Lytechinus pictus: one gene and its partners. The main gene of each other region encodes a partner of the protein of the gene in region 2 in a complex. Links are inferred from orthologs where the notes say so. Each region holds a gene or a part of one and is shown on either strand. Other genes may lie near its edges.

Region 1 (8,628 bases), on a different chromosome or scaffold from region 2:
TCGCATGTGAAATAGCGAGGGAACGTTTTTTTTTTATCATTATCATATTATTTGTCTTTTTAAAATTAAAGTATATATCTTTTTTTGTTCGATCGTGCTCAGTAAAATAATGTAATTTGAACTAAGAATAAATTCAGTGCTTACATGACAAGTTCATTTAAAGAGATGTTGGAAGTAGATAGGATGTAATACAGCTATATAGGTAGAGCAAAGTTTGTATGTTTTTCATAATCATCATCTTTGTTCGATAACATATTTTCATAAGGGATTTTTTTTTATTGAAATATGTAACAAAATTACAGCTTTAATGGAATTAAAGCTCTATTTCCAATAGAGCCTATTCTCTCACAAAATTTGAATGTAATTTTTATAGCTTTCCCCACCTTTACTAAATATGCTATACAGAAATCTTTACATATAGCGATAGATGTGTAGATCGGACCACAAGCGTTGGAATATAATTGTATAAGAGCTTAAAGGGCGATTGTTTCAATCCATATACTTCACTGAGGTTTCAATTCGAAATAAACCAATCCAATTTGGCAAAATTCAATCTCTACTCATGGTCTTTGTCAATTACCACACATTTAAAATGTTGGGCAACATACCGTCCACTATAGTTGGGTAATGTATGTCGGTAAAAAATAATTCTGAGCAATTATTATCCAATTGACCAAATTTATTACCAAATTATTAGTTTAATTACCCAATTTGGGCAGATTTTAACCAATAGTTGTGTGGACATGCAGGGTTGGTTAAAAGTTGGGCATTTTTTTGCCCAACTATTTTAAGAGTGCATGTATTTGTAAAAATCACGGTATTTGTACATTTAAATTATTGCATTATTTTTCTTTTATCTCTGGCTGTTTTGAAATTATTTTCATGCAGGGTTGGTTAAAAGTTGGGCATTTTTTGCCCAACTATTTTAATCGCTGATGTGGTTTACGGTACACCATGTGGAGTGTTATAGAAACAGTGGATAGTAGAAGAAAAGAAATGGATAGGCGAGAAAGTGGGAATTTGAGAGTAGAGTAATCTTTCTTGAATGTAGTCCTGAAAAAGACTGTAAACCAGTAGAGATTGATGATTTGAAAACAGCTTGAGTAGTAGGATGGATGAGGAGATGCTGGCTTGAGTCGACGAGTAGAGATGATGAGAAGAAGCAGTAGAGAGACTCGACGTTTCGGGAAGTCTCTGACAGTCAACCTGCCCGAAACGTCGAGTCTCTGACAGTCAACCTGCCCGATACGTCGAGTCTCTCTACTGCTTCTACTCATCATCTCTACTCGTCGACTCAAGCCAGCATCTCCTCATCCATCATACTACTCAAGCTGTTTTCAAATCATCAGTCTCTTCTGGTTTACAGTCCTTTCCAGGACTACATTCAAGAAAGATTACTCTACTCTCAAATTTTCACTTTCTCGCCTATCCATTTCTTTTCTTCTTCTATAACACTCCACATGGTGTACCGTAAACCACATCAGCGATTATGCCACCATGCAAACCTTCAAACAACATCCAACTATTTTAAGAGTGCATGTATTTGTAAAATCACGGTATTTGTACAATTAAATCATTGTATTATTTTTCTTTCATCTCTGGCTGTTTTGAAATTATTTTCTTTGCCCATTCGCAGACCCTTTTATACATGGGACAAATAACTTCTCACAGCATTCATCTTTATGTCAAAATCATTACCTTTTTGCCTAGAGGGCCTTCTTACTCGTATATTTCAAAATCATTGTGTGTCGCATCAAAATTTCATCCCCTAAAAGTTTATGGAAAAATACGCCATTGATATAACAATAATCCTGTGTTTCGGGTGAGAATTATTCCCTTTATGTATATAAGGAGGAACAACGGGGTTCAAGAAATGAACTTTTTGCTATCATTTATATTTTTAACAGTTTATCTTATGTTCACACTGAAAAAGTTCCCGGTTTTCAAACCACAAACGGAAAAGTGATATACTGAAAGGTGATGAGATCATCGATATGTTTATATATCGATGACTATATTGCCAAGATATAAACACTATAATCTTTACACCAGATGACTGCCAAACACGAAAGATGGTATACTGCATTTTCTTAAAACAAAGTTTGTTGAATTGTGTCGGGTAAAGTTCACAGAGATATTCGGTTCAAAACATTATTATTCATGCCGGTTCCAGTTGATCCGGCGACAATTGCTCCGATGGAAAATCTGCACTTTAAGCCAAACATGAAATCAAACCTCCAAAACTAAATATATTCTTATCCTTATCTTTACATTATTCTGAACCAAATACTCTATTACAATCCTTGTAGCCCAAACCATATGCCCTCTGAGATATTAAGACCGGTGCAAATGTCGTGTACGTCATGCACCTGCAGCCATATAATGAGGGCTTCCCAAAACCGGACAGAAGACTAGACCATTTTATGTGACTTGAGATTGATACTTTCTGTATGCAATTGTAACATATTTGATTATCTCATTGTCAAAACATTAAAAAATGAGTTAGTGAAATTTAATGAATCATATTTTTAATTCCATGAAGAAAGATACGAGATCTTGGATGGGAGACACACAAAACTCACCAATATTGTTGACAGAAGTTATTACTCCCAAACAGCCCTAGCTTCTATTAATAAAATCTGACCCCCCCCCCCCAAAAAAAAAAAAAAAAAAAAAAAAAAAATATTCAAAAAAAAAGAAGAAATGATTGAGTTTTCGAGCTCTCTCCAAAACAGAAATAGGTGGCTGACAGTGTCAGTAACAGAATGGGGTTATAAATGATAGGAAAGTAATTTTGGCAAATATTGAGGACAGTTCATACGCCCCCCCCCCCCTGTTAACCAAAATAGTACTTTCGTCTTGTACTTCATTTTGACAAATTGAAAAATATGTGACATTTATCCGCTTTCTTTATTCACATTTCATGTTGTTGCATTTAATACTATTTGTGTTATTTGTGGCTTTATGGGGACATTTTAACCTTAAACCTATAAAAGAATCAAATCCGCATCGCCTTTGCATTGTTTTCCCCATTTCCGTGGTGTCTCCAAAGAGGAAATTGAGAATGTCTGCCTGGACAAAAGAAAATCTGCACAACGAAAAAAAAAAATCAATTTGATCATACAATCATACGAAACTACACTCATTGCCTTTTAGGGACTCAGAATTCACTTTATTGCCCTGATGATAAATCTCACTGACACAAATGAATTGTTCATAATTATTTCAACAACAAAAAAAACATAAAAATTCACACACTGAAAAAAATGGAAGGATACAATACATTTTCTCTGGTTCATGTCGATTACTCCCCCCCCCCCTTTTGTGTGATTTTGTCATTACGTGATCCTATATAAAAAAATTGTATTATAATAAAATTCTGCATTTCCACTTTTTTGTTAAGAATCATAACGAAAGTTAATAACTTTCATCGAGGATCTTTTTTCGCTAATAAAGGGAAAGAAAGGTTAATATAGGCTATATTCATTACAAAAATGATCAATGTATGATGATAAAGACCTATCAGTCCTTTCTAAAGAAAGATGGCGCTAGAGTCACAAAATAATATACATGTACATGCTCATTTCACTGATGTAATATCATGTCTCAATATCAGGTATGTATATGATAATCAGCGTATATAGAGCTTGAAGAAATTTGTTGAAAATTAAAACGCAGACGTTCAGTTGTAAGACAGGAGCTCTGAAATATGGTCAAGATATGATTCACTTGACTGGAGATACGTGCCTTTGTATTTCTATAACTGAAATACCCAAAAGGATTCAACCTTCGTCTGATTAAAATGCAACATAAAGTATTACAGGTTCTCTAGTCTAGTTAAACACATTTACTTAAAATGAAAAATGTCCCATTTGGGTTTATAACAATTTACTCCAAGTTATTTGGCCTAAACTCAGTCAATGTTGCTTCCTTGCTTTAACTATTATCATTTATATATCTGCTAGGATCGAAAGCTTAGGCCCCTTTTGACTTTCTAATTTACTCCATTGGCTCTCTTTTATTAGATAAGCAGTTTTTAGCAGCTTCTTTTTGCCATTTATATATCTCGTACAATGAGACCTGAAATAAGTGGAGATCGGAGAGGAACACCTTAACACCCGCTTTACCTTAGTTCTAGTCATTACTTATTGTCCCCTATTGAATTTCTCATATAGAGAAATAACCAAAGAAAATTATGCTACATTCTAAAGATCCAAAACAACAAGATTTTCTAGGCTATCCAACGTCACGGTGGGGATAAACGTATGTAGTGTTTGCACTAATGAGTCAACAAATTCAGACTATAAAAATGGACGCACATATTTAATATAAGAATAAAAAATAAAATTGGTTTACTGCCATTTGATCTTCCAATTATAAAAAAGCAATTTATGCAATAACAATCGAACTGTTGAACAAGTATTTAATGAGTTGTAAATTACGCTCTTACATAACATTATTTGTTATTATCGCTTTTTGAGGCCTTTTTTTATCGAGCATTGCACACTGGCGGTGAATGATTTGCCAGTATTGGGATGCATATGTAAAAGAAAAATAAATAGATAATGAAAAAAAAACTGTGTGGATCTTCGTTAAAAATCTCAGTGGCGGATTATATAGGACTTTGTGGTTGACGCGCAGATGTTTGCTACAAAGATGAAATAAAGGCAGTGCACATAATGGTGGGATTCCCTCCCCTCCAGTTAAAGCGTGTAAAATTGTATGATCATCCCTGTATTTTCATGCTACTCTGAAAAAAAAAAATATAATGTACAGACTATTGGAGAGTCAAAGATTTACTAATTCTAATATCTGAAATCGTTTTACGTAACAAAATTTATATCAAATTATATCCTGGCACTTTTTTTTTCTTTTTTTTGCCAAACTTTCAAAGCCGAGGAAAATAAAAGTAAAAAGTTACGTGGCTTTGTTGCAGACTATACAGCAGAGATCACGAGACTCACGACTGAAGCTGAAGTAGTGAAAGAGGTATTGTGGAGTCAGAAAGTAAAATTCGATGTCTAATTTTAAGTTATGAAATGAAATAATATTGACACATAAGTGAATACTTAATGTTAATCGAGCAGTGCTTCGAAAATTTGTGAGAATCGACGAATAAAGCTTGGCAGACGTGAAGATGGTTGAGGTGAGTAATCATTTTCCATACAAATAGTAAAATACGTGGGACTGTAATATAAATCGTCGCAGAGCGTACATTGATATATTCAGTCATTAACATTTGTCTGTCTTCTGATAATATGACAATTTCATCAAAATCTGAGAATCATATAAGAGTAGAGTTAGAATAATTCATTCGGCCAAATTCTGTATTATGCTCAGCGGCCTTAAGGCTTAAATCCACCAGACCTACTGAATATCTTGTGAACTTTTAAAAAATATAGATGATAATAGATCTAGCCTAGCCCTAGACCTAGTTGATTCTAGATTCTAGTCCAGAAATCTAGATCAAACATTCACGATTCTCGTTTATTAACGTTAGCCCAGATATCGGCCATTGCGCTCGTATGTTGGAACTTTGACTGGCGCTTAGCTACAGCATCTAAAAGGGGAAGCTTGATCACCCTCCTTGATTACTGCTTAATTCCCTCTTGTAAGTTGTATTATGTGCATGGGCAAAAAGGTGCGCAGTAAAACAAAAGAGCAAATAATATTGAAGCTTACCACCTTTCCAAATTGGTATATAACGTTATGGAAAATACAGAATTTTTATGACAAACATGCAGGATCAGCCGGGGTTTTCTTTGTTTGCCATCATGTTTGTAATATGTAATGAGGATCGTCCCTGTATGGTAGTGGATCGTATTACCGAACACTTTTCATGAATTCAATCATATCAAACACACTATTCTCATAAAATTCACCAAACTTTCACCATGAATACACAATTACCTACAAAATATAAATATGTAAAAATTTGGCCGAAATCGTTTTTCCTATTTACGATATTAGCTTCCAATCGGACCCCTCTTCGCATGTGAAATATTTTGGTCACTTGAAAAAGGTATCGTATTACCGAACGTGTGTTTTCTATGGGAAAAGTTGAGAAAACAACCAAAACAACAAAGTCACTGATGCGCTATTTTGACCATATCTTATTGTTTTTCGAATATTAAGACTTTGAAATTGTGTTTTTGACAATTTTTCATCATCTTTCTATTCAAGTTCTCTTTGAAAGGATGTTGCAAATTTTTGAGCATATGGAATTATTTTCTGATGCGTATGATGCGCACGTTCGGTAATACAAGGCCGGTCGGTAATACAATCACTCACTATACATATAGACGTTGTTTTACACTACAGGTATTGTCTTTTTTACAATGATTTCTCCACATAAGAAATCTAGAAAGTTCATTCACCTGCCAAGTGTCATCATGTGGTCGTCATTAATCAAGAGTGATAGACAATATAAACTTATCAGGTTTATAACAAGATTATTTAGTAAAAAATAGACGGTGAACTGTGGGAACGGAGGTCACAGAATCTATTTTTAGCACTCAAATTCCCTAATACTGTATGTCCTACAGGCGGAAGTGAAAACAAAAACTGTCTTCAGTAATAAGGACAACCTCATTTTATCGAGACATGATTGATGTTTGTTTATGAGGATATCCTTGTTTTCTGGGATGACACCTCTAATGCACCAAATACAGAGGCTTCAGGTTTAATTTAAACTCTTGTCTAAAGCTGTGGTTTAGCAAATTGTGACAGGAATCTTTAAAAGTACCTGTACAGGTATAATTGATATATCAGTTACTCTGATTATTCATAACTGCGTTAATATGCATAGCGGGACATAGTAATTTATATAAATTAGGAACTGAAAATTGTAGCACTTGATCACAATTTGAAAGTTTGTACAACTATGAAAACAGCTTCTATTTCAAAAGTTTAAACATGGTTCCATTTAAAATTGTTTCAAATGTTATTTTTGGTTGCAGCAACTGAAGAGATATTTGTGGAGTCTTTTGCAAATGTGAGTATTCAAATACTGTTTCATAAACATTATTTTGATTTTTTTGTAATCGGGGTTGGTCTTTAATGGGAGTGGTAGATTTTCAAGTGATCAAGGGCAAAAAGTGTAAAGATGGGGAGGATGTAAAGAAAAAAATGCATTGTTGATGAGATGATTTGCATCTATGAGATGTCTTGTATCTTTCTTTCATTCAATATTGATTAAAACTTTTTGAATTGCAAAAATATCCAATATTCCTTCACCTTTCTATAAAAATATTGCATTTATTTACAGACTAAAATGGCATGCTAGACTAAGGGTCTAGAGCAAAGTCCTCCACATCAACATGAATGCAGCCTCTCAACTCATTCTTTATGACCAATATTTGTATGTCAGTATATGATAAAGATGAAATACATGTCCTTCTCATAAGTGAATGATGATTGGTAGCAAAATATTTGAAATGAATAATTTTTTAATTTATCCCAAGTCTTTCTATTTACCAATGTCAAATTTTGAAAGATGATTTCATATTTCTGTCTGAATCATATTCAGGGTTGAAGGGCTAGAAGCCATAGTAATTACAGATAGAGATGGTGTCCCTGTTATTAAAGGTAAGTCCTACTGCGTTCAGTTTTTAATATATTTTGGGTTGAAAATGCCTTGGCAATTGGCAAAGTTTTATGTGGTTCAAACTTTTTTTCTTCTTCTACATGTAGCTTTAAAAGCAGAATCTACGGCCAATTAAAATTGATATTAATTAAAAAAAAATTTTTTTAAAGCGCTAAAAATTAAAGTATGAAAATGAGAATGGCGGCAGATCAAGATGGGGTGCAAGAGACATACAAGCACTATTTATTTTATATTCATATTATGATACTGATTGTTTATTATCAAATATCACTAATCCGTAATTGTGTAAAGTTTATACAAAAGTCTTTTGGTTGAATTGTAAGAAAGAAAATAGCTGAATCGACATGTTCAAGATGGAGAAACCCACATTTTGCATAATTGAATTGTAAATTAATTGAAAACTTCTTTGTAACAAATTACAAAAGAAATTATGAATGCATAATCTTACTTGCATTACCTGTGCTTTGCCTACTGTACATGTAACTGTTATGTGAAAAGAAATAAATCTTAAAAGTATTATTATCTTTCATCCAATTTTTATGCAATTTTCAATAATATGCTTGTTCAATTATTTTTTTATTTATTCAGATCAATTGTTGCTTGGGGTGGACTTTGCCTTTATTTGTAAAATTTTGATTTGGTGGTGTAGAAGGAGCAAAGAGTTTGCTTTTAATCTTTTTAAGGGTCTTGTATAGTTAGAGCAATGTAATCCCCTGTGTTTGTACGTGCTTGTGTTTTTGTTTTGAGAGTCTATTACTTATGCTCTAAAAAATGAATTTGTGATATAAATGAGTGAATATGAGTCAGTAGTGGAAATACACTGTCATAAAACTATTTTATTAAAAAAAAAAACAGGCATATTAAAGATATTGGACTACAGTCTAAAAAAGTGTATATTACCCTGGAATCTGATTATTTAAAGAATGATTACATGTTAAGATTTGTTTAGGAGCTTTCTTTCTCACTTTTTTCTTTGGTAGTGAAATCTGATACCACTCCAGAACATGCAATGAGACCAGCCT
Region 2 (7,976 bases):
AGAATATGAATTTATTCCTAAACCCGACTTTAACATTGACTTGTATTTCAAATACTTGTGTATTGTACATTTTTGAGTGAACCATGTATACCTGAGTTGGAATTATTTCCTCATGTTGACATGTTTTCATCATATTTTGTTTTGTTCTGTGTATATACATGTGTGTATAAACCAGTGAAAAAAGAATTTCCTTTATGGACAATAAAGTTATTCTATTCAGTTCAGTTCAATTATATTTTTACATTCTTATCGATGGTGAATAAACATTATTTCACATAATAAAGTACAAAAGAATAAGTGTGTGTGTAGGGGGGGGGGGTGAAATCCATCAGCTCGATTAGTACATAATTATTCATGATGACATGTATAATGCTAAACATTAAAATGGCTTAACATTATTGCTCCATGTCAAATTTAAAGAAAATTTAGTGTGGAGTTTGGTTTTCTGGCTAGAATATATACCCCTTTAATGAATTAGATTGTAATTACTTATTTTTTTTGTAGTGTTCTGTTTTGTCGTAGAGAATATATACCGAAGGATAGAAAATCATTATGATGTATTATATAATTATTAAAGATATCATAACTAAATTTATCCTAACTAATATCATATCAATCATATGAAATAATTATAAGTCCAAAACACCATCGATAGTCTCATCTGATGTCACAATTTACGGCGTATTGCGTCACTCATTATAGGGAGTTATGGCAATCGCTATGCAGAACAGTATCTGGAACGGGGAGAATCTATTGTCAAATGCCCTTCATTACAATGAAGTCTTTATCGAAAGTCGGTGAATTGAAACAACAGTTTCGTCCGTGACATCGACATCGGACAAAATGACATATTTGCCTTTTTGTCAGCTCCAAAACGTCGGACCATACTACTGTTCCGATTCACCAATTTTCAAAACAAACTATATTACCAGTAAGGTGATAATTGTGTTGAATTATTGAAAAATAAATATCTTGCCACAGTATATACTGCATTCGTTGTAATTTATATTGTGTGTGAAGAGTCTTATTGTATATTTCTACAATGTACTTTGGTTCAGTCTGTACAGTGATAACTGCTGTTGCTACTAATTTCTTCCCAAATCTTCAAGTTTTTAGTTTATTTCACCAATCATAAAAAATACAAAGAAAATAATTCTGCAAATACAATACAAGCAATCAGTGGAAGATTTTTTTATTCCTATAGGAAATAATTGTATTTGTGAATGAGGGCCCAACATGACCGTATAACACATTAAAAGTAAAATGAATCATTTATTAGATAGTATAAGAAAACAAGGGGGAGTTGACTTGGCTGGTCGTCATTACATACACACGCTACCCCCTGCATCTTACACATCTAAAAATTGGGGGGAAAACAACTGAGAGAAAGAAGATGTTAAAAAAAGATACTGTTAGAAAGGAGGGAAGGCGAGAAAGTGAGTGAAATGGGGAAAGATAGATAGAAAGAGAGAAGAGAGGGAGCGGAAGGGGGGGGGGGGGGGCGGGGAGATAGACTCGGATCGGAGAGAACAGAAAATTTAACAATTTCATGCATGTTTATTATTGGATTGAAGCTCGTTGCTCAGTGAATGTCACTTCGACATCATGACTTGTATATCGTCAGGTGTTTTCCTTAAAGGGGTACTTCGGGCTGAAAATGATAGAGTAAAATTCATCAAGCAAACAAGTTCTGAAAATTTCATCAAAATCTGATTACAAATAATAAAATTATAGAATTTCAAAATTTAGCAATATTTTGTAAAAGAGTTATATGCACATTCATTAGGTGTCATAGCCACACTTCATTTTTGTCTCACCTGCATAGCAGAGTGAGACTATAGGCGCCGCTTTTCCGACGGCGGCGGCGGCGGCGTCAACACCAAATCTTAACCTGAGGTTAAGTTTTTGAAATGACAGCATAACTTAGAAAGTATATGGACCTAGTTCATGAAACTTGGCCATAAGGTTAATCAAGTATTACTAAACATCCTGCCTGAGTTTCATGTCACATGACCAAGGTCAAAGGTCATTTAGGGTCAATGAACTTAGACCATGTTGGGGGAATCAACATCAAAATCTTAACCTAAGGTTAAGTTTTTGAAATGTCATCATAACTTAGAAAATATATGGACCTAGTTCATGAAACTTATACATAAGGTTAATCAAGTATCACTGAACATCCTGCATGAGTTTCACATCACATGACCAAGGTCAAAGGTCATTTAGGGTCAATGAACTTTGGCCGAATTGGGGGTATCTGTTGAATTACCATCATAACTTTGAAAGTTTATGGATCTGATTCATGAAACTTGGACATACTAGTAATCAAGTATTACTGAACATCCTGTGCAAGTTTCAGGTCACATGATCAAGGTCAAAGGTCATTTAGGGTCAATGAACTTTGGCCAAATTGGGGTATTTGTTGAATTACAGCCATAAATTTGAAAGTGTGTTGGTCTAGTTCATAGAACTTGGACATAATAGTAATCAAGTATCACTGAACATCCTGTGCGAGTTTCAGGTCACATGATCAAGGTCAAAGGTCATGTAAGGTCAAAGAACTTTGGCCACGTTGGGGGTACTTGTTGAATTGCCATCATATCTCTATAAGTGTATTGGTCTAGTTCATAAAACGTGGAAATAAGAGTAACCAAGTATCACTGAACATCTTGTGCGAGTTATAGTAGTTTTCAAAATCAGCACTGCTGCTATATTGAATCGCGTGATGCAGGTGAGACGGCCAGAGGCATTCCACTTGTCTTATGTTATTATTACATGAAATCATAATAACTTCATATTTTCATGCATGTGTGTATGATTATGTTCACCACATAATAAAGTCAGTTGCAGCAATGAGTATTTAATGCGTTAAACCAGTTTTTAATCCAATTTTTTTAGTTCTTGTGGTACAAAATATGAATGAACACATTTTCATGTAATAAAATACAAAGAACAGATGGGGATATCACATCATCGGTTTCCTCATTGTATATTAAAGGTCAAGTCCACCCTAGGAAAATGCTGTCTTGAATAAATAGAGAAAATCTAACTAGCATAGTGCTGAAAATTTCATCAAAATCGGATGTAAAACAAGAAAGTTATGACATTTCAAAGTTTCGCTTATTTTTCACAAAACAGTGATATGCACAACTTGGTGAGTCAGTCGATGATGTCCTTCACTCACTTTTTCTTTTGTTCTTTATTGTTTGAATTATACAATATTTCATTTTTTATAGATTTGACCATAAGGACCAACTTGAATGAACCATATAGTATTGAACAATATGCTAATTCCACATGTTCAGGGAGGAATTAATAGTTGTATCACTTGACAATGAGGAACAAATTAGAATATTTCATATAATAAAATACAAAAGAAATAGTTAGTGGATGACATCATAGTCTCCTCATTTGCATACCAGCCAGGATGTGCATATAACTGTTTTGTGAAATTAAGCGAAACTTTAAAATGTCATAACTTTCTTATTTTACATCCGATTTTGATGAAATTTTCAGTGTTATGCTTGTTGGAGTTTTCTCTTTTTATTCAAATCAACTCTTTGTTGGGGTGGACTTGTCCTTTAATGAAGACATGCGCTTTAGGACTAGCTGTGATATAATGCAAATCTGTAATAACTTCGTTATTCCTTGTCCGATTTTGATCATATTTTCAGTGCTGTGTTTGTCTGATTTTTCTTTATCTGTTCATATCATTATTTTCACCCCGGAATACCACTTTCTTTGTCAGTTTTCTTGTGTGTGGCCAAAAAGGATGACAAACTTAGGTGTTTTTTTTTGTGAATTTTTTCTCAACGCCCCTTCGATGCGCTAGAGCAAGATAGAGTTGATAGGCTACCCGATTCTTCTTCTTCTTCATTTTTTTTTTTTTTTTTTTGGGGGGGGGGGCAAATTAATAGAAACACCTTTAAAAAATATGGATTCGAGCATCGAGGCTGGTGCTCCGTTCGGCGCAGGAGCTGGCCCCGGCCGCCCCCCCCCCCCCCCCTTCATCGAAACGTATTATGGTGCTCTGTTCTCTGTTGTTGTTTTTTTAGACTACCTGATAAAAATGAAAATTATATGGCTATAAATCCTCGGTACCAGGTACAGAAAATACAGATAGACTTCTGTAGATACCATCTTTTTTTTTTAATTTAAGTGCAAATTTTGGTCTGTACCCGCAGACTACGAATATAGGGACAGCTGCACGGTCGATCACATGATATTCCGCGGTCACATGACAAAGTAGAACATGTATCAATAAATCGTGATCCGTCTGAAATTGAAAACTCTCTTTAAAAAATGGAACAAAATCTCGACAAACTTTTAGACGACACGTGAGTATTTAACTTGATTTAATACTGTATAGTATTACTATATAGTAATTTTTCTTAAATTGTGAGGGAGACTCAATTTTTCGAGGTCGTATGCGGGGATATTTACATGGAAATTATAGTTTATACCAGTCCCGTGCGTTCAATTTCATGTAAAGCAGTAAGCTTCTATGTTCTAGTTTTTGTTCACTCACGCGTATTGCGAGGTTAGTATTAGTATACTAGCCTCGCACCACGAACCGCGTTTGGCAGTGGATTTCTAACTAGTGGGTCGCGCGTGCTGGGATCTCACTTCTTGGGTCCACAACACACGACTTCTATGGCTTGATTTTTCTGTGCGCGGCGGCATGTAATGAACCCTTGGGTGGTTTTTGTTCGAAATTATGTTTTTGTTTTGCTGACGGCAGAAATCAAGGGAGTTAAGGTCCTTGTTTGTTCATGTGATTACGAGTCCAAGAATTATAGGCTTATAGCTCCATGATAAAAGTACTAGCCACTCACTCATGCTATTATTTATTAACGTAGTAAAAATCCTCAGACTCAATTTCATTCAGTTGATATTTGGTTAACAAGAACAACGATTTGGTTAGCTCATGTAGCTTCATAATTACGGAAAACATAGACCCCTATCAGACAAAGAGATATTAAAAAATGAACAGGTATGACTTCATTTTGGACATTTACAAATCTTAAGCCTGTGAACACTCATTTAATGAACCAATTCAATGAACAAGGTTATGATATAACCTGTGAATAAAGAAATCATAGGCCCAATTAGATCTATAAAATATCTGGATGTGGAAAAAAATGAAGTTTTCAGAACTTTGCTTAGCAAATTCTGAAAGATACTTACTCCTAAGCAGTGCTTAGGAGCAAGTACATGTATCTTTCGGGCAAGTTGGGTTTAGATGTATGTAACTCACACTAAATGCGAGGTTAGTGTGCATTTCATTAATATTGTACAAACATTTTCTTTTGCTCATATCTGAACCTGTATTGTTTTTTCCTTTTTTAAAAATATTCCTTAAATTTTAAACCCATCAGTTTCAGTTTGCAGATTAATTATTTCTCCAGATTTACACTGCATCCCACAAAAAAGGAAAATGGGTTCCCCACATCATTTTTCTTCAAGGGCAAATTAATTATGTTCCATTTATGTCATCATACAATCAATCATTCCTCTACATTTTTATACCTAATATGTGACAAACACTTTGCGCATTAATAAGCAAGATGAGTTTGAAATTTTAATGTAAAAATCAGGTTGTGCAGAAAAATTGGACAAGATTGGTTCGTGTACGACAACCATGCTTATTCGATAATTGACTCGTTAGCATTTCTTTCGGATTCTTTGTGAAGTTTCTTTCACTGATCCCTGAAGAGTCTATTCGGATTTTTACGTGAGTTTCTGCGCAAATTGTTTCTTAAAGACCTTAATATTGTTTTTTACCCACCATGCGTGATTTGCTATGCTGTTGGTCTCAAATTAAAGATGAGATTCCACTCCTACCATAAGTATCAAATTTATAGTTAAAACATATTTAATAATTGTGAAATTTATATCTGGAAATGGGTTTCCTCTACTGTTGGACGCAGTTGCACTGTGAGTGCGTATATATATATATCTTTCTACATCTGCATTTAAGGCAAATTATTTGTCTTCTTTCAATGTTCGCAATGCGCCTTAACGCCCTCTACCTTTGACTTAAAGTCTAAATGTGTATTATAACGGAATAAACCCATTCATAGACTTCGCCCTTACACAGTTGAGGCCAAAAGTTTACATACACCCATGGAATTCATTGAAATTCGTTCACTTGCCAAAAATCGTAAAATTTACTATATATTCAGAAATATAAATACTACCATGACAAATTTGGTATCAAATAAAAGATAAAAGAGTGTGTTAAGCTCTTTCACATGATTGGGATGCAGTTGGAATTAAAGTGTATTTCAGGTGGAATTTTCTTTGAAGAAAAAAAGTAATATTCGTGCCAAATGTGTTCTATTGTTTGATATTATATTTTCAAACATTGTTTCATAAAAATATATAAATGTCAAATCTATGATTTATATTACATTTTCTGTCATGATGTGTCACCACTGAACAAAAAAGTGTAATCTGAAATGTTTGTGTTGAGAAGAAACTAGCACAGGTATGAAATGTTTTTGTCAAGTTTTCATTCTAATTTATCTAATTTATGAAGATTCTTTGGGAAAAAAATTACACCTAAATATTCATCAGCTCCTGATGACAAAGCAATGTGATGAAGGGGCATTAAATACTCATTTGTTTTATATCAAATTTATCATGATAGCACAAATATTTTATAAGATACAGTAAGTTTTTGAGTTACTTCAGTGAAATTGTTGTTGCCTCATAGTTGTTTATTGATGTCAGGGAACTATTAGATTTTGGCAACCAGCATAAATTTCAATATATTTGTCATGTCTATTTTCCTATTTTTCTTAGAATGGATGCCCCTGGAGTTATGGGAGTTCTTTGTGCTGACAAACAGGGACTTTGTTACAGTGGTAAGTATGGTCCAACATTAAACTTTGTGGGAGACAATTATGATGTGATACACGGAGAGTTCAACAGGGGGGGGGGGGGGTGAGAATGAAATTATATAAAATTATATTTTTATCCTCTATGGATGAGGAAAAAATGGATTGACAACTGATTTATTGTATCAGAAAATCCTTGCTGCTACATATTTTTTACAAGGTAGTACACACATGTATGAAAATATGAAGTATGGTTTAATTTCATGTAATGATGTAAGAGAAGGGAATGTTGGGACATGACATCATCAGCTCGCCTGTTGCATATTCATGACAGCATGTAGATAACTGTTTTCACAAACTATTGCTAAAGTTTAGAATTCAAAACTTAATTATTTATTATCAAATTTCGATTTTCAGTGTTTTGCTTGGTGAATTTCACTTTATTTCTTTAGATACAATTATTTTTCAGCCAGGAGTACCTCTTTGCATCTTGTCAAAGTGATTAGATGCTTTGTCTTGTATTCTTTAAATAGATTCTGGATACTTCATGGACTTCTTAGTTCTAAACCCGGATTTCTAAAGCTTATTACTGATATCCTATGAGTGAACAGTAATTTCTTTTTTAGTTTCTTGTGTTTCATGGAGATGATTTTAATAATCTCATCTGTTCAATTTTTTAAATTGAAATTTACTCAACTTTATCTCTTTCAAATTTTGTTAAGACTAATTCCACTCACAATTCATTTCCTTTCTACAGCTAAAGGGACAGTCTCATCAGGATGTGCAGGAATCATAGCCTCTCTCTCTCAGCAAGCATCCCTTCTAGTACCAGAAAACAACAGTACTCCAGTTATCTGTTTAGAGTCAGATAAAGGGTAGGTACTAATATGCCAATAGAGAAGAGGTTCATGTATTCAGAAAGCAAATGTATACTATGTGAACAATTTAGCGATGAAAGGCCAAATAAAACAAGAGAACATCAAACAAGCATAATGAGGACAATTTCATGAAAATTTTATATAATGCTGACAATTTCATCGAAATTGGATGTAAAATAAGCAACTTAATGATGTTTTAAACTTTCTCTTAATGTCACAAAAGAATTATACATGTATGCATCACTCACATTTTCTT
Region 3 (8,694 bases), on a different chromosome or scaffold from region 2:
AATTTCACCTTGACATTATCTTTCAAGTAGGATTATAGAAATAAGATTACTGAGCAGGAATTCTGATTTTTTTTTAGCTGTATTGGCCCATACATGTATATATCAGGATTATTATGTTATGGGCCAATAAAATTGAAGCAATATAATTGTGAAATTTTGTCTCGTACTTTATATGCACATGTGCATGCAGATGGAGGTGCGGTTTTACTTCGGGGGAGGGGGCATTGGGAGTGAAGCCCCCTCAAAAATTCCTCAAAATTTTTTTTACCACAAAGAAAAAAAGAAAGAAACGTAATGTAGACCCACTATGCTATGTATTGAATAATGCAGTATCCCATTCCTCCGATAGTCTCCCAAGGTATACATATAGGCCTATTGCCAGTGATTTCTTCTCCTTTTTGGTTTTCATTCTTAGTCGTGGCAATTATTCATTCATCCATGGAGGGAGCCCCCAATGTCCCACAGGTGTACAATGTCGAAAAATTTCTCAAGCCCTCAGAAGCCCTGCCAAATTTTTTAGTCTGTGAGGGCCCAATAATAGGTAAAATAAATTGCCAATTCATCTACCGCCACATGGTCTCACTTCATTTAGTCTAATAATGCCATTGCGTCCATCAACATTTTGTCTAAACAACCATTTGGTCCAATCATAACTTCGTCCAATCACCATTTCCACTCATTACCAGTTGGTCTAATATCCATTTCATTTTCATTCATTTTGCACAATGAACACTTAATCCAATTAGACCAAATGGTATATATATGGACTAAATGGCTATTGGACCAACTGGTTATTAGACAAAATGGTGAGTGGACGAAATGGCAATTAGACCATGAGGATAGTGGACGAACTGATGGTAAAACAAATGATGGTAGACGAGTCCCCTTTCCAGGTCAATAACAGCTCGCGCTTCGTGCTCGCATTATAAATTCAGTGAGATGCGTATTGGGTTTCATGAATTTGTAACTAAATTATTACTGGTATATATATTATTGTCTTTTAAAAAAAACATTATTTGTTTAGACGTTATGAGAGAGATACATACATATATTCATTTATTAAAATATATTTATATTGTCGCTAATGCACAGAATAGAAAAAAAATATAACCGAAGTCTAGTTTTATACATGTAGTAACTCACCAGTAGCGTAATGAGCCAACAAAAAAATGGAGGGGGCCAGACAAGGATGACATTTATTTTCCTTTCCTTTATTCTTTTTTTTTCATTGGTAGGGAGAATGGGGGGGGGGGATCCGTGACCCCTAGCACGCCCCTCCCCCATCTGTACGCCAGTGATGATCATACTTTCATTCGAAACAAATTGAAAAAAAGGTGCAATGGTAGATAAGGCCCAAGACGTAATGAAAATTATTGATAAAATATTCATAATTATAATGCTGATAAATACAATAAATCAAGCGGTCACCAATGAAAATAAACAGCGTGAAAGAACAAAACGGGAATGAGGGAGAGAAAGAGAGAGAGCCCGCCTGAATGTATGGTGTATAAGTTGCTCGAAAGCAGAAGAGATATTTTGTCCAGCACCCCCCCCCAAATTCTCTCCCCGCTCAAGACCGGAGTGAAACCAATGATAATAATATATGAAAAAAAAAATCAAATCTCAATGGGGAGTGTGTCATTCCCCTTCTTCGTTACAATTTGTCAAGTGGCAGCGGCAGGGAGAACAATTTTGTTTTTTTTAAGAAGAAAGCTGTGATGATAGGGGGAGAATAAAATAAATAAAACATTAACGAATAACAAGAATGAAACAACAAAACAATTTGTATCAGGATGAATTTCTTATCATTTAACATAGACCAACTTGGAGAAATAAGATGTTCATGCAAATGTCGTATAATCGGAGAACATAACGGCGGAGCAATTGTCGATAATCGGAGCAGATGTCGGCGGAGCAATTATCGGCGGAGCAGATGTCGATGGAGCAAATATCGGCGGAGCAAGTGTCGACGGAGCAACTGTCGGCGGAGCAACTGTCCGGAGCAATTGTCGGCGGAGCAATTGTCGTGGAACCCGAAAAGCACCCTAAACACGTATTTTCCATATTCTGAAAATGCACCCCTTAACAAGTATTGGCGTGTGATACCCTAGTATTGGAAACAAAACGATACTCTTGCCAAGTATTCCCTGAATTGACGCCCTAAACAAGTACAGCAATATATGTCACGGACGTCGGTTTACCTTTACCTACATCATTGGGTTTAGTACAGCCCCACCTCCCACATCTCGTGCAAATCGTACTCTAATCACGTAGTGATGACTCTGGCTTGGGGCAAAAAGTACATCCTTTATAAAACATTTTAGTCTCAATTTTTTCACCCTCGCAAATTTGACCCTAAACACGTAACTTTCCTAGTGTAATTTTCAGTTAATTAGTTTTTGACACCCTGGCTTATTACGTTATGTACGTAACATGCCCTATCTTGAAAAAGACATCCTTTTTACGTTTTTTTGGTCGCGCATGATATCCACTCGTCAATGTAACTGGCCCCCGGGTCATCAACTCAACATCGACAAGCTCATTCAAGAAGGCCATTGACAGAACCTTCTTATCCTCACTCCGCCCTCTCTCACCCGATGCGTTTATGCCCAGGAGGGCCCTGCATCGTATAAATCCAGATCCAGACATCGAATTTGATGTATTTGAAAGTGGACACCTATATCTTTATACTTAAAGCCATGATTATAAAATAACTGCAGATATCGTCACATGTCAAATAAAAGATTAGGATCATCTCTGGTCAGATTTAATGAAATACTACCGCATGTATAAACCCTCATCCCCAGTGGGGGATACAACTTAATTTCCGACATTGATTTCATTTTAAAACAATTCATTAAAAAAACAAGAAAAATATTATGAAAAGACGGGGAAAATCTCCGATGTTTCCTGTTGTTCTTCGCCAAGCTACGTACATGATGGCGCATATCCTGGATGAGTTGATCTCACTTTAACTTAGACTCTAACGTTATGTCGTTAAGCCAGTATAGTGGGTACCCGGTAGGATGGGGGGTTGGGTGTCCGGACACTTTATATTTTTGAAGCCTTCTTTTTTGTCTTAAGATTACACTAAAAATATGAATTCAATAGTTGTTGTAATCATTTTCTATTTTGTTCTCTAGGCCTATATAATATTTTCTAACATTTTGTACTAAAAGTAAAAATTGATGAAACTTCGCTTGTAATTTTTTCCAATTGACTTTCTAAAATTGATCGTCCAGACACACAACCTGTCCGGACACACAACGACTGGGTATACCGGCAATTTGAAGGTGCCGATTCATTCATAGACACAGCAACGACAACACACGCGTACGACCATAATTTTGTAAAGATTAAGTTCACACGCATGCGTACTCTTATTCTGAACTTCCGAAGACGCAAGTCATGAATATTTATATTGGCTTCCACAAGAATCCACAAGAACTGCAGTGGGAAAAATAATTTCGCGCCCAGCTCCAACTCCAAGCCCCCCCCCCCCCCCCAAGCCAAGGCAGCCGCAGCTCAGATCAGTGGAGTCAGGCGAGGCTCTCCCCAAGGGCCCGAAGACTTAGGGCAGGAGCTAGCGACCAAGGCCGCTCCAGGCGCAACTTCGCCCGGGAACTTCGCTTTCTGGGAGCTCCGCCGCGATCTCTCAACCAAATTTTTAAAACCAAAATTATTACGAGTAAAAATGTTAGTTTCTCCGAAAGTATCAACTTACACACACATGAGCTGTTGAACAAATGTCTATTTTTCAGGAAATCAAAAGGACAAGAAGATATGGTATGGATGGTTTCTACATTATTATGCGGTATGTTGTTTATTGATGGTGGTGGCGCTATTAAAAAAGAGCAGCAGCGCGCAGATACCGTATTCATGCCAGTAAATACGACTATCATCATAATCACGTGCATATGTGTCATACACGGTGTCAATGCGGTGTTAAGTTTGGTGTCAATAGTTACAGTTGAGACGAGTTGAGAGCAGTAAGTCTAATGCTTGAAGAAGAAGAAGGAGGAGGAGAAGAATAAGAATTAAAAAGAAGAAGGAGGAGGAGGTAAAGAAGAAGAAGAAGAAGAATTAAGAAGAAGCTAGAAGAAGATTGATTCAATTCAATCTTCTTTTAGTGCAACCGTATAAATTTTACACGAGTTGGATTATGTACAGATAAAAATGATTGACAATTATACAATTCATAGTACAAAGATTGATAATTTATATTTAAAACGAAATAAAAATTATATCAAAAAGTATCTTAAAAATACCAAAAGTAAGGAATTATTATTACATTAAAAAAAGAGAAACACGTATACACATTCACAAAACCAAGAAATACTGTCTTAAATTGCATGCCCATACTGCCATTAACTCAATCCAATAAAAAAGGAATTTGAAGTTAAAGATAAATTATCAGTGCAAACTATATAATTGTGTTTTATCCGATTGGTGCTGAAATAATCGAGATGAGGATGAATTGTATAACATCTAAAATGCATACACTGTTAGAAAATTTATCCTTAAAATAAAAGAAGTTCCTGCAGCAGAGTCTCGAGAACACCTGTAATCTTACCAGATTGCGTAATCTTACAGGAAATTGGTATTTGGTGTATGGAACCTAAAAAATTTCCTTAAAGAAAACACCCTTTTCCCCTTTTTAAACAGACCTGTTCTGTTAACGGGCAGAAAAATTCCTGTTTTATGAATCTACAGAATGATTCTAAATTGCTTTCTGCAAAATCTTTTTTTTCCTGTAAAATCAGGGTTTTTAACAGTGTAGGAGTGTAAACAATTTTAAACAGCATATTTATTTGTGTTTTTTTTTTTAAAATTGCATTGAATCCAAACCGAATTCTAATTTTTCATTGTTTAGATTGGAAAATATGATTTTGTTTAGTTGGGTAAACAAAATCAATGGGTTATTGATGCATTCAAATTCTTTTAGTGTTATGTAAATCTACAGATTTGATTTTAAAGGACAAGTCCACCCCAACAAAAACTTGATTTGAATAAAAAGATAAAAATTCAACAAGCATAACACTGAAAATTTCATCAAAATCGGATGTAAAATAAGAAAGTTATGACCTTTTAAAGTTTCGCTTCATTTCACAAAACAGTTATATGCACATCTCGGTCGGTATGCAAATGAGGGAACTGATGACATCACTCACTCACTATTTCTTTTGTATTTTATTATATGAAATATGAAATATTTTGATTTTCTCATCATTGTCATGTGAAATGAAGTTTCATTCCTCCCTGAACACGTGGAATTCCATTATGTTAATATTTTGTGCTTCAGGCAGGGAGGTCCTAATCATCAAATTCGTAAAAATTGAAATATTGTATAATTCAAACAATAAAAAACAAAAGAAATAGTGAGTGAATGACATCACCGACTCTCTCATTTGGATGTAACTGGCTCGTTCATATAACTATTTTTTTAAAAATAAGCGAAACTTTGAAATGTCATAACTTTCTTATTTTACATCCGATTTTGATGAAATTTTCAGCATTGTGCTTGTCTGATTTTTCTCTATTGATTCAAATTAACATTTTTCAGAGGTGGACTTGACCTTTAACAAATTGTATGTAAAATGCGTTCACTAAGATCCGTAGGTTGTGGAGAGTAGTTATATATGAATCCAACTTCCAGCTGACACGGTTTTCTTGTCAGGATTTCCGTATAGTCTACGTTTACAGACCCTATAAGCTCTCTATGACATTAAAACGGAAACATAGTTCGTTACACGACTCCTTTCTCTCTCGAGCTTGGTCCCCAAGGTAATTAATAACAAACTGTCCACTTCTAAACAGGGGGTAACCAAAAACTCGAAAACAACCTAATTTCATTTTTAAGTTTCGAAACACCATAAAAAAAATTGTCATATATTCTTGTTCAGGTCCTGTACAACTTTCTAAAACATAAATTAGAGTCCACAAATGTCAATATTTTCGAAGTAACGTATCCGCACAAAGCTTGAAGATTGGGATCGAGTTCATTATCATGTATCCATCTGAACTGAAAACTTAGTCCTAGTTATCAGTCAGACGGCAGGTCCCAAGAAAGTGGCTTCTTCATGACTTGAGATGTTTTGCATATTTAATGAGTTTGATGCGGATCAAAACACCTCTTTTCGTTCGGTCATTGCTGCTCTAATTGCGCATCGAATTTCATGATTTTGGCATCATTGTAAAGAAGAAGAATAATTCTTTTAGGTCATGTGTTTGAATTTATTCAAAAATTTTGTAATATAAGTTAAAATTTTGATCTAAAATATGCTACAAAATATTTATTTTCACCTGACAAAAGATGCTATTTTCACACTTTATTTTTGTTTGAGCCCAAATGATTTTTTGGTCATGATAAAGCTGAACATGTATGCTTTAAAATGGTAAAGGTTTCAAAATAAGAATTGGTTTAATCGGGTCAAGATCACACCTTTCATTGGCCAAGTACATAAAGCAGCTTGAAAACAAGAATAATGCACTCTGATTAGTCAAAGAGACCACACACTGGCAAATTCCAACGGTTCCAGTGCCTGGGTTCATGGGAAGGTCACACTTCCCATGTGGTAATCTCCTCAAATTACCCGCGCCTGTTGTTCTGTGAACCTTATCCAACCAATCAGAACTTTGGATTTCATGCAAGTACAAAATTTCATAAATCTCGTCTTGTACCTTGGTGGGAAAAGTGTGATCTTGACCCGATTAAAAGGTGCCGCATATTAAGAGTGGCATTGAAAGTACAGAAGTTCAGCTTTATGATGATATACATATCATTGAGGCTCAAAATAAAAAGTTTTGCACAATTTGCAAAAGAAAACAGAGGAAGAAAATTCAGTTTTGAGGCACATTTTCAGGCCAGAAATTTACTTATTTAACAAAATATTGTATAGAAAATAAATAACCAACATGAAAGAATAACATTTACTCTATCTGATGGTGCAATAATATTTCATTTAACTTGAGGTTAAAACAGGTAAATTCTTAGAGAAAGAAAATCTCACGAATCACGAGATTTTGCAAGGAGGAGGATTCAGCCACGAGATGATTTGGATGAATCTGGCCTTTTTGCTCATTAGCATAGGGACCTGCGGTCTGACTGTTATAGTTTGTAGGAAACTCATGTCTCAAAATAATCCCGCAGGTATGTAGCAGGTCCTCTGTCACGGGAGGGATACCGTCTCGCTGAAGTTTCTTTTTCAGGTGCGGTTTCTCCTATGGCAGTGGGTAATTGTGCATTAGTTGTACCCCGTGCTGTTGCACCATCTGTTGCATCGTCAGCTGGACTGTTGTCTGATGGCTCTCCAGGTACATCGTCATTGGGTGGAATGTTTTCTGAGGAGCTTTCCAAAGTGTGGTCGTCTGCCGAAGCTTCATATGGTTCACCTGCAAGGGTGCACCTGCAGCCTGGCTTCAGTCTGGTGGATCTCCAGGCACATCCTCATCGGGCACGACGTCTTCTGGGGAACTTTCAGTATCATGGTCAGTTGTCAACGTGTCATCTTCTGGTCTCTCAGATGCCTCTTCACCTGCTGGCGTCTGGTCTGGTGGGTTTTCAGGCACCTCGCCATCTGGCTGGATGTCTGCTGGGGAGTCGGATGTGTTGTGATTATGCATGCTGACACCACCTGGCGAACCTCTCTGCTCCAAAGTCTCCACCACGGGGTCTGAATTCCCAAGTCGGAAGCCCAATATCTTGATAGGGTTTCAGCCTATCAATGTGTACTTCCAATGGTTTAGACTTCCGTGACTGTTGAATCCTAACTGTGACATCTGACAGGCGAGTGACCACTAGGTAAGTGCCAAGCCATCTTGGTTGCAGTTTTGGGCAGCGACCCTTTTCTCTGGTCTTCTTTCGAAGCCATGCAAATCGCCCAACGGCATAGGGAGCTGTATGCACCTTCCTGTCGGAGAACGACTTCTGCTCGCTGTCTTCAAGGTTTCTCTCGCTACCTTGTGAGCTATTTCTAGATGATTCCGGAACCTGGCACTGTAGTCTGTTTGGTCGTCATCTCCGTCGGTCTCGGGAGGAGGGAGATCCCAGCCCATAGGCATGGGATTGTCTCTCGCCCTAACATTAACATATTGGGTGTTTCACCGGTTGCATCACCTGTGCTGATCGAATGCTGTACCAGACCGGTCTTCCCCAGGTCATTTGCAACTTGTGAAAAGATATCTCCAAAATCCTATAGCAATGCCGCCACTTTTCCACGCTGGTGCTCAGGGAGTTGCTCTGTACTTCGTTCATAGAGTTCTTCTGGGTGCTTAGGTACAGAGTTCGACATCTGGTCAGACTGAGGGGCACGGGCTTCCTCTATACCTTCTGCATCAGCTCGAACCACAGCCGCGGCTACTAGCAGGCCCTTCTTGCTCAATTCTGTAAAAAAATGCAGGGGCTTCCAACAATGCGACCCCGCTAATGGTCTCGGAGTCACATCTAGTCGCTTCTCCTTTGAGAACAACATAATGCCCGGCGGGGACAATATTGGTTTCGGAGTCTACGGATCTGCAGCAAAATTGTCTGCGCTCTCGGTCCTTACAGGGGATAGACTGCCAAGGTGTTCGTAGTTCCATCCTACGACAGTCTAATTCAGCATGCATCTGAATTAACAGGTCAAGACCGATGATACCCTCATTCTTCAATGTAGCCACGGACAGTTGGACCATGAAGACCAATCCTCCAATGTG
Region 4 (8,461 bases), on a different chromosome or scaffold from region 2:
CCCCCCCCCCCCCACCGCCCAATGTGTTCTCTGCAGGCATAGAACATTATTGAAACTTTGGTCTTCGCACCAGAATATCACAAATAAATCTTGATTGCGTAAATATTCACATCTGAATGGTACCCAAACAAACAACAAAGACATGATGCTTTACACAAGTCAATGCCAGGGACCTTAGGATGCATATTCAGACCACTTTCCTCAAGAGAAGGGTTTCCACAGGAAACTGCTATATACCCCATGTGTGTCTCTATAAAATGAAATGAAATCATTGACTAACCTGTTCACAGGCCTACTGGGTGTATTCCTTGCTGGGTCTAATAAGCGAGTTGTTTCACCAGGGTGGTTTTCCTAAACATGATTAAGATGTTGAATTAATTATCATAATACCTGTTATTAGAGAACTCTCACATCATATTGACTTGAACAAAGAAAAAAAAACAAGAAAGCAAAATGCTACATCAACCAAAACCTGATCAATTTTTTTTTTAAATCAAAGAATTCTAGAAGAATTGTTTTTCTGATAAAGTGAGTGAAATGCATCAATATGGTCATACAAGTTCACTAAATGCTACTTTTGTATTTCATTTAATGAATTCACACTATAATTTCTTGGTCCAGTAAATATCATCATGAATTGACACCTCATTTACCTTTAATGTAGGGTAGCAAGGGTTTCGAGTCAATAATTATTTCAGATCAATTACAGTCATCTAAGAAAGCCAAAAGATTGAATTTGAATTTTTTTGTGTGCCTCTGGTGCAGTGTTATAATGCTAGAGTGGTCGGACCCAACCGGCAAGACAGATTTCTGACCACCATTAATTTCAAATGAAATGTGCTTCAAACACAACTCCTTGCAAAGAAGGATGTACGTTTGCATTAATTTTTTTTTCTTTAACCTTGTTTTATTTGCATTTTTTTTCAAAGATTTGACAATGTCAGACAGTTCTTACATGGTTTTAATTCACTTTTGGCTTTAAGACAACTAACTTGGCCTGAAAAAAAACTTTGTATTGCCATGAAAGCTATTTCAGTGGGGTTCGGTTCTGGTCAATACAATTTTGATCAATTCTACAAATTTCCTACCTTTTTATCCCTCTTTCTCTCTCATAAAAAATTGATTCTTATCGCTCTGGACACTGCGCCTACTCTCCCTCACGTAGCATTTGTAATACGCAATAATCTTAACTTAATGCACGCAAGGTGGTCGGTTTCAAAAGAGGTGGTCGACATGTGGTGGACTTCGAGAATCCAATCTTGAAGGAGGCAGATCAACCCAGAAGAAAAAGAAGATGACTTTAAGATTATTTAGACTTGGAGTCGAGTCTTGGGTAAAACTAGGACCCTAACTAGTGCTGCAAGTCAGGTGGCATGTTCGGGTTCTGTTCGGTTCGGCAGGGTTCGGCAAATAATTTCCGAACTTTGGTTCGGTTCGGGGTTCGGCAATAAATGCGCAATTAAATTATCGACATATAACTAAGGATTGCCAACCCTCGAAAAAATTAACTATTGAAATTTCTGTCGTATATTTATGATAAATTTTGTTTTTAAAAAGAATGGTTATAAAAATTGCTGCATAACTTTCTTTTATTTATTTCAATCTTGAAACCAAAAATAAGAGTCATTTCTACTTTCATTTTTAAATTGAATAAAAAAAATAAATAATAATATTGATAACGAGAGAATGAGGACAGAAACAGAATTACAAAGAACAGAATATTATTCGTTCATTGATTATTCCATGTAGATATGATCATGATCGATTACAATGCCATTGCAAACGCAGCTTCTCCGATTGGAAAGTGTTGATCGGGAATGTCGGAACAGTAGACAAACAACCTCCACTCAACTGTTATTATACTGGTAAAATTCACATTCCAAAGAATATGAAATCTTTTAGAAAGTCCCTATTTTCTGAAAAGTGGTTAAATCTGGTCAATCAATTACTTTAAAAAGATAAAATATCAGTCCATTCTTGGTCCCGAAAGATCGACACTCGAGTGACTTCAAACATATTTCCAACATGAAAATGAGTACATGGGACTGTACTATGTATTTTAGTGTTATGAAATCACTCGGCGTTGATCGTCAGAACCAAGACGGAACTGAAAATTTATCATTTCATTTTCAGTAAATGACCAGATTAAACCACTTTTTAGAAAATATTGACAATGGAAAAACATTTCAAATTTGGAATATGAATTTTACCAGCGTAATAGCAACTGAGAGCAGGTTGTTTGGACTTCCTGTTTCAATTTTCCTTATCAACCATTTCCGGTACACGATCAGGGAACATGCGTTGACTTGCTTTGAATTTTTATCTTTTCTGTTTTTTCTAACCTCATTCCTTCATCTCTTATTTATTTATCTTTAATATTGATATGTATATTTCAGAAGGTGAAATATACATACTTTACCATTACTTTGTCAGTCACAAGGAATGAATTTATGTCATTTTTTTATATTATTACATACAAAACAATTACATGGACGCCCGATCACAATCATGATCGATTACACTTATACGTAATTCAACTACACTTTTTAACCGAGTTTAGCTTAAAATGTCCCCACATTTTATGAGAAAAATAAATAAATTCATGGTAATAAAAAAATTGAGACTGATAAAAATTCAATCAAAGACGAGACCGAAGCTGTCATACTTTGTCATTTACGAGGAATGAATTTATGTCTTGTCCTTTTTCTTAATTAAATAGAAAACAATTAGGTCCGATTACGATAACGATCGATTAAGCAATACGTAATTCAACCACACTTTTATACCGAGTAAAGCTTCAAATGTCCCCTCATTTAATGAAGAAAAAATATATTCATGTTAATAAAATATTCTCGATATTGCCCGATGTTTACGCCGCCATCTTGTTTCCTATTGTTCTTCGCCAACGTTACGCAACGCACGCGTCTGTAACGTTGGCGAAGAACAATAGGAAACAAGATGGCGGCGTAAACATCGGGCAAGTCTCTTCCGTCTTTTCACAATATTTTTCTCATTTTTTTGATGAATTCTTGTTTAAAAATAACAACGGGAGCGTAGAAATGTCGGAAATGAAGTTTTATCCCATGTACATGATTTAGGGCTAGATCTTTTAGAAGGAAAGTAGAAATCTCGGGGGTGAAAGTTTCAGGTTTTGGGGTCCTGGCTTCATGTAGGTGAATGAGAAGGAAGACCTGGCTTCATTGAGAGTAAGCCTACGTTAGTAAATGCTTTTTACTCTCAAGAAGCCGCCTAGCTACCCCCCCCCCCCCCGGCAACCGAAGACTTTCAAAATAGAAAAGTCTTTAGTTTAGATTTAGGGCCTAGCATGCCTAGTTTCTTTAACTAAGTTTAGATCTTCTCTTTACTTTAGATTTAGAACTAGAACTAGAAGTCAAACATTCATGACGTTCATTTAGACTGCACTCACTTGCAATTTGCTATCATCATCTTTTCCATAGCAGCAACCCATTTTGTTTGATTCTATCCGAGATCAGGGTCGTCTTAATTCTTCTGATTCTACGTCTGTGTTGCAGGAGTACTGGCGCTGGCTGAATTCAAAATCAAATTTATTGAATGTTTGGCCCCACTTAGTCCGGCTATCGTGAAGACAAGAGTCTTGCTGTCCTTGAAGTTGAACTATGAAGTTGAGGCAGCGTATGAGGAACTCAGTCATCAAATTAATAAGTTCAATTCCTTCAAAGGTCCACTTTTAAGTCATTTTGATCAGAACGTTGTACTTCTTCCGAGCTTCTTGTGCATTGTGATGCCTGCTCTCGCACTGCACTGATGACTAATGCACCGCAACTTAACTGTACCTGTAACTAGAGAATTAGCTCTTGTGCAATTCGAATTACGATATCACGTTATTATGAAGTCAGCGTTGGACGTGAGTGCACAAGAATTGCATGCAACTAGTATAGTAATAGCCTCATGTACGTACGCAGTGACTTGTTGCAGTCATATGATTTCCCAGCCGTAGTCTGTTTAATGTCTTTGCAAGTAATTGTTTGTGTTTAGTGTTAAGTAATTTTCTAGATATTATCAATAATTGCATATACATGTACATGTATTTTTTTAAATGAGGCAAATAAATCAATTACTGACCCAAATTATTTTTTTCTTTCGGAAAACCAATCCTTTATTTTATTCATGGAATTCATTTATCTATCCCAACGTCTTGAACAAGTACTATGAACAAAAATCTTAGAAAAACATAGATCGATGGGAAAAGGAAGTGGGAGCTATGGGAAAGGAGGGAAAAGAAATATAGAAGAAAAAGCGGATAAAATGAGAAAAGAAGAAGAAGGGAGAAATTCAAAAGGAAACAGATGAAGAGAGAAAAGAAATAGGAGAAAAACGACTATACAAAGATTAAGGGAAAAGAAATGTAAAATATGGTAAAAGTATAAAATAAAATAAAATGAAAAGAGGAAATATCAGAATTAAATAAGATCAATAATGTAAGGAAAACAAAAACAGAAAAGAAATAGAACGATAAAAACATCAATACAAAGAATACTGGGAAATAAAGAGTTTGAAAATATGGTAAAAGGAAAAAATGAAAAGTGAGAAAATATAAGAAATAAAAGATAGAGAAAAGCATAGGCGGATCCCGGGGGGCAAGGGACCCGCCCCCCCCCCCCCCCCCCCCCCATTGGAGGAGCAAAAAAAGCAACAAAAAAAAGGGAAAGAAAAAAAAGAAGGGGAAAGAAAGGAGGAAAACAGAAGAGCAAAATAAGAGGGGGGAGACAATTGAAAAAGATAACGTCCGGGGAATATTTGGAAAATGATTTAAAATTATATATTTCATGTCACTTTATTTCGCTCTCACATAGCCTGTTCGATGAGATACATATATTGCTCAATAGGCTGATATATGTAGCTTAAAATTTCATTATGAGGTTTTGAAGTCAATACAAAACATATTTCAGCTCGGACATCAAGCTTTCATCTCTGTAAAATGTCCGTTTTGTGGTGTGAATATCCTTTGCAGCTTTTTGCGCTGTGAGCTCGCATTACTAGTATTTGATTTGCCAAATAGGCCTATACATATTGTCTTTGTATATTCCATAAGATTCTTTACAGCGGCGTACCCAGGATTTTCCAAATGGGGGGCAAATTGTTTGGAGGATATTTCGTCCGTGAAAAAATTGACAAGCAAAAAAAAAAAAAAAAGGGTCTTCAACTTCAAAAGAGGGGGCATACGTCGAATTTCTTTGCATTTTTTTTATTCCCTGGATCAGTTGTGACTCGTCAGAGGGGCAGTATGCCCCCTGCCCCCCCCCCCTTAGGTACGCTAGTGATTCTTTATATATTAATTCTCTAACCCGGCGCGGATCCAGGGGGCACAGGGGGCACGTGCCCCCCCCCCCCCCCTTGAGAAGCAAAATTAAAATTTGTTATGTAAAAATTATGCCATTAAAACAGAGGTGTGCCCCCTCTTTTGAAATTGAAGACCTTTTTTTTTTGGCTTGTCAAAATTTTCCTCCGAATTTGCCCCCCCCCCCCCCCCCTTTGGAAAATTCTGGTTCCGCCCCTGTCTATAACAAACTACTTAAAATTCCCCTTTTATGACAGTTTATCAAAAATTGATTAATAGTTAAAAATATATCAACTCATAAATCCTATATTCATGATTACAAAAGTGCTTAAAATATCCAGGTTTCAGGCCTCAATGTCAACAAATATCACTCACTTATTAGGCTTATTACATTTATAAATATGATAATTAAATTTTCATAAATTCCTATAATAACGAAATAGTCCCTTTTTCAGAAAGGAATATCAACAAGTTTCATATCGCGCTTAGGAAGAGGAAGACAGTCATCCTTTTCATCTGATGAAAAAATGTCCTTAGTCCTAGAATATCCAGGTACTAGGTCAAAATAATAATAAAGATATCAGCTCGCGCTTCGCATTCGCATCATTATACCTTGGTCACATTTGCTCTACGGCGGCCGTACGGCGAGTCGAAAACAGCCGTTTTAACATCTTTTGTACCAACTACATATAGGTGGTTTGAATTAAAATTAATAAAACCGCTGTTTTCGACTCGCCGTACGGCCGCCGTAGAGCAAATGTGACCAAGGTATAAGTGCTATCCACATACACTTTCACAAAATCCCTACAGTGCTTTAGACAGTGCTTAAATTTACCCTTTTCATACCGTTTTTTTTTTCCGCTCGCATTATTGATTTTCATGATAAAAATAAAATGTATTCAGAATGCCCAGATTCTGTCTAACTCTAAAACACGCGCACACAATCATGTTTATTGAAATACGCAGCCAGTGATCTTTATTCAAAACATGCTGAAATTATCCAGTTTGCGCTCGCATTATATAATGTAGGAACTTCCTTTTTCTTTTTACAAAACATGAGTGTCCCATTTTAGGTCTGAAATCTCAATTTTTTCCGCTCGCACTTCGCGCTCGCATCCGCAGTTTTATACCTATACCGTTTATTTCAAAAAAGCGCTTAGAATGTCAATTTTTTAGGTCAGAATGTCAAAAATTTTCAGCTCGCGCTTCGCGCTCGTATTATCTAAAAGTTGAAATATTTATCGTCTTAAATGATGGCTAACTGCAAATCGTCCTTATATAACAGGTCCCTTTTCGATCAAGCCAGAACCCATATAAAAAAAATTCTGCTCGCGCTTCTAGTTGCATACGCATCTTGTTCAGGTTCGCAAGCATTGCCCAAAATATTCAATTTTCAGGAAAAAATACATGAAATTCCAAAAAGATTTCAGCTCGCGCTTTGCGCTCGCACTATTCAAATAGGGCTAATGAGATTATTACATTTTTTTATGTTGTTTTATAAGAATAAAGCTAAGAAATGACTGTTAAGACCTCGGCGTTTTGCCCCCCCCCCCCCCAATTTTTTACGACCAAGAAAATGGGGAGAAAAGGAAAAAGATAAGTGTGAAATATAGGCCTATAATTTTTCAAATGTCATGTCAAAATTTATCAAAAACTGTGATTTTTGTAATTAAAATGTCAAAAATTTTGCTTGCTTCTTATAAATTTTACTTCATATGCCGTATCAAGCCCCCCCCCCCCCCCCCACTGAGACAAACCCCTTCCGAAAGAAACAAACAAAAATAAACCTTGAGCGGCCGATCGGGGAAAATATGGGTGAAAAAAATTCGCCACCCCCCCCCCCCCTATTGGCGGGAGCTGGATCCGCCCCTGAATATGGATTTTGGCTCCTGATTTCAGCTTGATCGATTAAGGTATTGTCACTGCTATTCTTGAAAACTTGATTTTCCAAAAGGGGAGGGGGCACATTTCCAGAATAAAATTTGACATGCAAAAGAAATAAAAAGGTTTTCAACAATAAATTAAGGTCATTTCGTCCACGAAAAAAATTGATGATAGTAGTTATAATAATAGTAATGCTAATAATAATAATAATAATGATAATAATATGTATGATTATTGTCTCATGTGCATGGAATTTTATTGAAACGACATAGACGTAAGCAATCACCACGAATCCATTTACGAAAGCAACGAATGTCGTCCATTTCAGTTGCTGATGTTGATATGCATTGGGGCGAAACAATACGAGCGCACAATGGCGGGAAATTTGAATTTGAATAGCTGATCATGGGGCAGGCGAGAATGAATGTATTTTGCCAATACAGGATCAGGTTAGAACTAGCCGTAAATGCTTGTAGAACTAAGAAAGATGTCCAACCAGAATTTAAACAGCAGATCTCCAATAAGAGGACAGCCGACAGATTTAATTTTCCTGATATTACTGAACATGAAAGGAAGGGATGGAAACTTCAGTGATTTCAGTCATTAGTTTGGTGATAACCAGGTAAGTAAATCAGTGTTAAAAAACTTAAGAAACCTTGTTAAAAATCGCCCAAAGAAATAGACGTTTGCCAAAATATGCACATCCTTCTCCTTAAGCGATTTTTAAGGTTTTTAGGATCATTTCGAAGATTTGAAGTTAACTTATGTGTAGATTTATCTTGTTTATACATACAAGAGAACTGTATTAATTGGGTCAACTCCATGAACGCCTACATGGACGGTGTTACGAATCTACACTGCATGCATGGGGACTTTGATGATGTCACCCACTTAATCTTTTTTTTGTGTGTATTTTAAATGGAATATATGGAATATGGAATTATTTCCTCATAATGAAATAACATGTTGAATTGTTATTAGTGCAACCTATAATCCAATGAACGAGTAATAGCTTATACAATTGTCAAATCTTCGAAATGTATTATCATTTACAATAAATACAAATAAATATAATCATATGCGTGATATCATTGGCTCTAATTTGCATTTCCTGTGATGTGCCTTCAGCCTAAACTGCTGTTTTGTAAAAATGAATAAATGTTAAAATTGTAGCTTTCTTAATTTACATCCGAATTTTGATGAAATTTTCAGCATCATGCTCTTTATTTTTGTTTTTCTCTCTTTATTCAAATCAAC

Evidence for each region.
Region 1: ragulator complex protein LAMTOR5-like (region 2) and ragulator complex protein LAMTOR3-like share a complex: the UniProt entries of both Homo sapiens proteins name them as parts of the ragulator complex. The link is inferred for Lytechinus pictus from reciprocal best matches to the Homo sapiens genes LAMTOR5 and LAMTOR3.
Region 3: ragulator complex protein LAMTOR5-like (region 2) and folliculin-like share a complex: the UniProt entries of both Homo sapiens proteins name them as parts of the lysosomal folliculin complex. The link is inferred for Lytechinus pictus from reciprocal best matches to the Homo sapiens genes LAMTOR5 and FLCN.
Region 4: ragulator complex protein LAMTOR5-like (region 2) and ragulator complex protein LAMTOR1-like share a complex: the UniProt entries of both Homo sapiens proteins name them as parts of the ragulator complex. The link is inferred for Lytechinus pictus from reciprocal best matches to the Homo sapiens genes LAMTOR5 and LAMTOR1.

Annotation. Positions count from the first base shown.
Region 1 is NC_087251.1:16,375,081-16,383,708, forward strand, and holds the start of ragulator complex protein LAMTOR3-like, read left to right. Parts: upstream 1-4,929; 5' UTR 4,930-5,137; coding exon 5,138-5,146; intron 5,147-6,959; coding exon 6,960-6,994; intron 6,995-7,528; coding exon 7,529-7,587; intron 7,588-8,586; coding exon 8,587-8,628. UniProt on the Homo sapiens protein: As part of the Ragulator complex it is involved in amino acid sensing and activation of mTORC1, a signaling complex promoting cell growth in response to growth factors, energy levels, and amino acids.
Region 2 is NC_087247.1:51,473,852-51,481,827, reverse strand, and holds the start of ragulator complex protein LAMTOR5-like, read left to right. Parts: upstream 1-4,180; 5' UTR 4,181-4,302; coding exon 4,303-4,337; intron 4,338-6,807; coding exon 6,808-6,869; intron 6,870-7,599; coding exon 7,600-7,717; intron 7,718-7,976. UniProt on the Homo sapiens protein: As part of the Ragulator complex it is involved in amino acid sensing and activation of mTORC1, a signaling complex promoting cell growth in response to growth factors, energy levels, and amino acids.
Region 3 is NC_087254.1:2,675,559-2,684,252, forward strand, and holds the start of folliculin-like, read right to left. Parts: upstream 3,832-8,694; 5' UTR 3,725-3,831; intron 1-3,724. UniProt on the Homo sapiens protein: Multi-functional protein, involved in both the cellular response to amino acid availability and in the regulation of glycolysis.
Region 4 is NC_087249.1:39,305,454-39,313,914, reverse strand, and holds the start of ragulator complex protein LAMTOR1-like, read right to left. Parts: upstream 3,818-8,461; 5' UTR 3,470-3,817; coding exon 3,428-3,469; intron 352-3,427; coding exon 281-351; intron 1-280. UniProt on the Homo sapiens protein: Key component of the Ragulator complex, a multiprotein complex involved in amino acid sensing and activation of mTORC1, a signaling complex promoting cell growth in response to growth factors, energy levels, and amino acids.